Drosophila melanogaster: one gene and its partner. The protein of the gene in region 1 purifies or fractionates together with the protein of each later gene. This does not show direct contact. Each region holds a gene or a part of one and is shown in the gene's direction. Other genes may lie near its edges.

What was found.
Region 2: the proteins of CG3740 (region 1) and Snx21 purify together in Drosophila melanogaster (affinity purification with mass spectrometry, with the first as the bait; one large-scale study listed by BioGRID). This does not show direct contact.

What each region holds. Positions count from the first base shown.
Region 1 is NC_004354.4:1,667,906-1,671,223, reverse strand, and holds CG3740 (uncharacterized protein), read left to right. Parts: upstream 1-1,926; 5' UTR 1,927-2,214; coding exon 2,215-2,416; intron 2,417-2,435; exon of another isoform or gene 2,436-2,479; coding exon 2,480-2,700; 3' UTR 2,701-2,818; downstream 2,819-3,318. Other genes in the region: hfw (halfway), read right to left, coding at 1-408, 1,287-1,304; dor (deep orange), read right to left, coding at 2,854-3,318.
Region 2 is NT_033779.5:2,763,292-2,767,431, reverse strand, and holds Snx21 (sorting nexin 21), read left to right. Parts: upstream 1-1,766; 5' UTR 1,767-1,929; coding exon 1,930-1,936; intron 1,937-2,004; coding exon 2,005-2,148; intron 2,149-2,233; coding exon 2,234-2,927; intron 2,928-2,990; coding exon 2,991-3,126; 3' UTR 3,127-3,354; downstream 3,355-4,140. Other genes in the region: Taf10b (TBP-associated factor 10b), read left to right, coding at 1-95; aph-1 (anterior pharynx defective 1), read right to left, coding at 342-665, 725-1,117.

The sequences.
Region 1 (3,318 bases):
ATAGAAGCAGTGCTTCAGATACTCGGGCTGTTCGGGAGCAGCCGGCGGAAGGGGTGCGGGCGAAGTGGTCGACGTGGTCGAGGTGGAGTGCGATGTGCTTGTGGATGTTGTGTCTGTCACAGATCCCGGATCGGACATGCTTTGCGTCTCGGCCAAACTTGATGCCGTCGTGGTTTCCCCAATGCCCACGTTATCAGTTGTTAGGATGGGAGCAGGTATTGCTGTTCCCTGCTCATCTTCCTTCAGCGGCGCATGGGGATGGGCATGGTGATGATGGCGAGCCTGTGGATGTGCGTGTGCATGTGGAGTAGACTCCTCGCCTAGTGCAGCCGGATCCGGTGTGTGTGCTATTTCTGGCCGCGCGCATGCGCCTGCTACAAGGAGCAGCAGGAGCAGGAGCCATGTGCCCTGCAACGACAACGACAATCAAAGGGCGCGTTAAAGCGAATCGAGTGGGGAAATGGGAAAAACGCCGTGTCGCACGTTGGACATACATATGCAAATATTTGCTACACCAGACGCGTTTGTTTGCAAATCGAATTAGACCGACGAGGGCTTGGCCTGGCTCGTCCTCCAATTGCCGTAATTAGGGTAAGTGAGGCACACCCTGTACGCATAAGTTGCTGGGCCTGCGGCTCTGGGAGTCGGGAGGGTCTTCGGTATCCAACTGGTTTCTAATTGTTTGCCCACTCGATTTAGCGTCTTGCGGGCCAACTGCCAACAACACTGCCATGCTAATTCGGCAATTAATTAACGAATCGTATGTGATAAAAGGGCAATAAAAAGATTAATTGTGTTAGGCAGCAATTGTGGGCGGGTCGGTGTCGGTTGGTGGCAAATTGTCGGCTTCGGCATGGAGTGGAAGTGGAAGGGGGCTATTTCCAGATCTTTGGCTGGTCAAAACAGCATAACAGTTTGGTATTACCATAGGCCAATAATAGGTTTGGTATGGAAAACATTTCCTTTTTGGCTTAAATGTTCCATAGCGTGTGAGGATACGAGGATTAACTAAAGATGGCCTCTGATTTCAAGGCAAATGCGCTTCTTTTCACAACTACAATATGAGAAATACCTATGCTGTATGAGTATAATAACTGGGTGTGGTATAAAATATAGAGCCATGGGTAGTATAACCTCACTAGCAGCACCCCTCCCTCGGAGCAATTTAGAGTGCTTTCGAGATTATAAACACAATATCAGTATCGGCATGCCCATGTCCATACCCCTACCCCTCCTGCTACAGGTACACCCATACACTAGCAGAGCTGCATGCGCATTGGACTTACGTGGGTGTACGCGAGCATGTCGCCTCCGAAATGAATTCCACTAGGTGCTCCCTGGCAGGTTTACTCCTCGACTAGGTGGCGCGGGAACGGAGCGGTCATCCACATCCGAGGAATCGCAATCATACGGAAGTGTTCACAATTTAAATGCTTTGCGCACATCCCAGTCCCAGCGGAGAGGAGCTACTTTCTGGGCGGTTCTGCAGGCTCGTTCGGTCCGCCAGGTGATCTGCCACAGATCCGTGCATGGGAAGAATCGGTCGGGTGTGATACGTAGGTGAAACACAAAAGTATCTCGACTCGAATTGATAAACTACGAACAAAACAAAATGCAAATGTTAAGTGCGCGCAGCGCAGCAGAGCACTCGCTGTTAAGTCTGATGTTAAATGCTCTGTTCGCCGCGGGCAATCGACTTATCGATACAGTGACATCGTTTGCACTGCGATTCGATAGTTGGCAAACGTAATCCGTTGAATCAATTTATATAATAAACACATATATATTTAATTTATTGTTCATCTTTAACTTAGCAACAGGACAGTAATAACCTATAGGATTAATATAAGAAATTTAATGTATGACCCATAACAGGAATGGGTTAACACATAAGGGTTAAGGCCATATATCGATATAAACGTCGATTGTGACCGCCGTTTGCGCATCTCTGAATCTGGCGCTCACAAGTTTAATCAAGTTGCTGTTTTTTAAGTCAAATATAAGCTTTTTAATAGTTCCCTTCAAGCGGATTCCGTGAAATTGTTTATGTTGTCGAGTAGCAAGTTGGAGAATTCAAGACCAACACTAAAAGGCAGGATACAAACGGAACGGGTGGCGTAATCGGAAACGTCATACTGCCGCACGGAACAAAGTCTAAACAGGAAATACTAGCATAGCGTTGCGAAATTCGGGCCAACTCCACGTAGCCTAAATATGCCCATAGATACGCGCGAGTTGATGGAGGCGATAGCCATCGTAGCGGACGAGCGCAACGTCCGCGTCGCCGTCAAGCAGTCCGGCAAGGGAGCGGCAATCTGCGCCGCCTGCTCCTTTGCGGGTGGCATGCTCCTGGGCCCCGTTGGGCTGGCGGTTGGCGGGGCCGCCGGCGGAATCGCCGCCTACAAGATGACAAGCGGTAAGCGGAGGAGAACTCCCGTACTCAGTCTCACTACATTTCCACTTCCCTCCTCCCGAACAGGCACATTCCGTCCGCTGGGCGAAGTCATCCTAAACGACCTGACGGACGCACAGCGAGAGCAGCTGGTGCAGCACGTAACCATGGCCGTGGCCGACATACATCCCACCGACGTGGTGATGCTGCTGCCGCTGATTGTCCAGAACGCCTCCATTCAGCAGGCTGTGCTTAACACTGTCATGTCATTCGTGACCAACGAGTTGCGCATGCAGATTGTGGACTGACCTGCTCTGCGGGCAAGTGGGCGATGGCCAGGTAACTGTAGAATTTGGACGGCTATCTCAGTCGAAACCTTTGTGATCAGTGTAGGTTTATTTATAATAATAAATACTTTATATGTACATAAATATTTGGGTCTGAACGACGGTGGTAGCGAACTACTCCCACTCGACATTCACCTGCTCCCAGTCGTCAACGAACGGCTGGTCGATGGTGCTGATTAGCAGCCCGCAGAATAGGCAATCCGCAGCAAGAATATCCTCGATCTCGGTTTTCAGTGCCGCCCTCTTCCGCTGCAGCTCCATCGCCTGCTGTTTGCTCAGGGCACCTGACTGCGGTTGCGCCTGCGTTTGCACCTCCGCCTCCAGTTGCTGCTTTAGAGTGCCGAGGCGCCGACATTGCTCCTTGGTGAGCAAGGGCACAACGTGCTTCTCCAGGCAATCGCTGTGGAACTTGTGGCCGCAGATGAAGATGAAAAAGGGCTTAACCAGCAGCATCATCTCGCAAATTTCGCAAGTATCCTGAGACTCAACGGTGAGGCTGTGCTGGCGCAATTGCTGCAACTCGGCGGTGACGCGATCGGTTTGCTCCGTAGTCTCGGCCATTTCACGCTGCAGCTCCTG
Region 2 (4,140 bases), on another chromosome or scaffold:
CCAAGGACCGCAAGTTCACCTTGACCATGGAGGATCTGCAGCCGGCTTTGGCCGACTACGGTATTAATGTTAGGAAAGTGGACTATAGTCAGTAGATAATGGCATGCATTGTAGTAGTTTTTTTCTCATTAAAAATAATGTATCTTAAGATCTGTGTTTTGGGAATTTATTGCGAAAGACCTTGGGATCTTAATGCATTCTCATTCTTTCAAGAAATCCATTTAGTAAAGGGATTTAAGTCCATAGAATGCGTAACTAATCGAGCATATACAAGGTAATTTGTTTTTTTTTATAATGTTATACAAAAGCTATTAACTAGGCGGTTAATACTAGGAGTATGTTTACTGGCATGTTATGAATTTTCTGAAACTGCGAGATGTTCCTCCAGCCACCCGGAAGGCCAGGACTCCCGTAAGTATGGTGACCAAGTAGTTTATCAGCAGAGTGGTCGTGTAAAGCTCATTGGCATTGAGCAGAGTTATCAGGGAGACGAACAGGTGGCTGAAAACCACATAGCCTATGTGGATATAGTTGTTTGTGTCGAATGCGTTGAAGAAAATAACGCTCCAGAAGGTGTGCAGCAGGATAATCGACAACGCCTGGGCAGCCGAGGTGACGAAGAATAGCTCAGTTCCGCCCTTCAAGCCCATGGTGCCGGGACCACTCTAAAAACCAAAAGATCTGTCATTGCTCGGAGCACATTACGCACCTTTGCTGCACTCACCATATCAGCCAGCACATTGACCAGTGCAAACATCCCGGATATAATGCCGAATCCCAAGCCGGAGACATAGGCCAGGATGTGCTTGTTGTCCGTCACTCGCGTGTCCTCCGCCACGGCGTGCAATCCCTGCTCCGTGCTGCGCAGTATCCGGTAGATGATGTACCGGAAGGCTTCCTGGAAGCACACCGAGAAGACCACGCCAAATGCCAGGAACTCCTTCAGCGGAATCAGGGCATACCACAGGGAAGAGATCAGCAGGGAAAGCAGCCAGAAGAATGCCGCCGCAATCAGAATGATGATCCGCACTGGATCATTGGCGATGGTGAAGACGAACAAGGCGAAGGGCGGTCCGAAGGCGATGAAGGTGCAGCCAAAGAACTCGGGCAACGTCATCTTGTCTTTGTATTATTACTGTTTTTTCTTTTGCTCTGTGGGTGTTTTGGTTTACTTGGGAAGAGGAAGCAGAGACTCGCATAGAGTTGCCAGACTTTTGCAGTGCCATTCGGGCTGCCACACTGTACGTTTTAGTAGTGTACATACCCTACACAGATGAGTACATTAGCTTGTGCGTCACGCAAAAGTATACAAATTATTTAAACTGCGAGAATTATCCAAACAAATGGGAATCTTTTAATCTTAACTTAATTGCCTAATTACCTATCCTTTGCTTTAATTTGTATATAAAAACCAAATCCAGCCTTTAAAAGTAATATCTACTGAACTACAGAAAGGGTATATTAGGACCGCTTTTGAAGATACATTTTTGAAAGCTGCCAGACTGCAGAGCACTAATGTCTTCATACCCTACTATATAAAGTCTGTTAATTCAAAAATAACTTGTTGCTAAAGTACACGATATGTATTAGAGCTCATAAAAATTGTAGCCTACTAAATCATTATACAATTTATAGAAATATTTAATATTATTCAAAAATTTAGAATATAGTTATTCTAAATGTTCCCTAAGAGCCATACCCGCGTAGGGTGTTACAGAGGCCGCCTATGCGGGATTCACACGCACAAAACAAAGGCCTCCGTCCCACTTGCAATGTTTTTGTTTGGGGCGGAATTAGTCACTGTAAATTGACTCAACAACTATGCCAACCGCATAATCCGCCGTAAACCAGAAGCGAATTGCAAGTGCCCAGCTGCGGATCGAAAACAGCAGCCCAGCGAGAAATCACAAAGAGATTCATAGAACCCGTATGCCCAGTGAGCACAGTGAAACCTCCAATTAGCAGTTCGTCGTTCATTTGGTTTCGTTTTTTCTTTTACCCCAGTTCACGCCGTGATGGCCAAGCGCCTGCACCACCAGCCTACCTTCGATGGGGATCCACCCGGTCCGGATGAGCTGGACAGTCCAGCCATCGAGGCGGCGGCCCTCGACATTCCCCCTCCCGAATCCGATAAGGCGCTCCAAAAAGGTTTGTGTAACCATTATCTCACACTCGCAAAATATGTAGGTACAGTGGATAATCTCTAAGGCGAATATTGTCTGTATCTTCTTAGGTGTCTGGGAGCGAGCCACAAGTGCTGAGTATAAGCCGACCACGGATGGGAGCACCGTGCTCCGCTTTGACATCTTGCTGGCCCACATAATGCCGCCCGATGGCGAGGATGTGAAGATCAAGCGGTTCGTGGTCTATGAGCTCACTGTTAAGCAGGATGGAGCCACGGAGGACACTCAGCCGGCAAAGATTGAGCGCCGATACACCGACTTTCGGGAGCTTTATCTGGGCCTTAAGCGGCAGCATCCGGCGGAGATGGCCAACAAGTACTTCCCAGCCAAGGTCCTGATGGGTAACTTCAAGTCCGAGCTGATCGGCGAACGGAGTGCAGCCTTCGAGGCATTCCTCACGTATGTGGCAAGCCAGGCGATGCTCCGGGACTCGGAGTACTTCCTGCGCTTCCTGCAGCACGACGAACTGACCAGGGCGTGCCAGTTTCTGGATGAGCGGCGTAACGAAATGGCCATACCTATTCTGGAGAACTGTTTCCGCTTGCTGAACAAGATATACATGAATCGATCGAGGCCGGTGCTTTTGATACTCTGCCGTCTAGTGGCTGCCTGCACCTCATCCCCAGTGCCTCATCACGCGGCCGAGAGGTGGGCCCTGCTGGCACTGAGTCGCTTCGAGACGTTGTGCGATATTGATCTGCTGCCGCTCTACATTCCCCTGCTTCACACCTGCGCCCATCTGTGGTGAGTCCAATCGAATCTTTCCGCATTAAGAAAAAGGCTAATCTGAATATCTCATCCTTTCAGGTGGCAGCGCGGCCAGGACCAAAAGCCAATCACCGACCGACTGACTGACATGTCCAAGCAGGGCATCAACACGGCGAACACCGAGAGCCTCATGCAGGCTATACACAAGATCGATCCTCGCACTGAAACAATTTGAATCGTGAATCTCCGCTACAATTTTCATCCATTAGTTTAATATTTTGTTCTGTAGTCTTTAGCTGTCCGGCGAAAAGTGCAATTAGATAATGTGTGCAATTAGTTTTAAGGTGAAAGAAGTATTTATCAACCTTTGAGGTAGAGCCCATATGTACCCCCTTTGTCCTCCAAAGTAGTCCGTTCGTGCGAACAATGTGTCACAAAGCATAACCAATTTAAGACAACAATTAAAAAAAAAAAGTATGTACGTCTCTTCGTCTAAATGTTTAATTCGTTATTTTAAAACTCTGATTTTCAAATTAAAATGTTAGATTTTTATAACTAAATCAAAGATTTTCAAATAATTTAACTAAAATTGGTTCTTATTAATAGCTTACATTAATATTGCGACTAAATGTAATTCGAAACAAAAAGGTTCTGTTCGTAACGTACTGCTTTGGTAACTTAAAGGTTAGTCTAAGCATATTTATGTTTCATGTTACGTATTGTTTGATATCTCTTCAATCGTCTAGTTTGTAGTTTGTACCCAGTGGGAGTTGTGATTAAGCCGTGCAACGTACATAATTCACAAATCCATCATCGAATGTCCATGACGCAGTGTCTCAAAATCCATGCCCAGAATTCCATATCAGCCTGCGGAAATATCAGACAAGTCAAACGAACAACGCAGCTCCCAGACTTTTTTGTTTTTTTTTTCTTCCAGCCCAATGTCTTGTGATTGCTTTTTCAATAAATAAATATTATACTCAAGTGTTTTGCAGAACAAATGTGGTCAATTATATCTAAATGGTATATATTTAATGGTTTGCCTTATGCCTATGCTTGTTTGTGAGTCATTTTAGGTTTTAAACTTAGAGCTAGGAGTGCACGCTGATGTAAATAACTTACTGCTAAATTCTGTGAGGATCTCTTGACCGCACTCAAAATGTACAATTCAAATTATATATAACTTATTACGTCAAACAATCGATTCAACTATATTATAAATAGAGGGGTACGTGCGTTTTTAACAAAA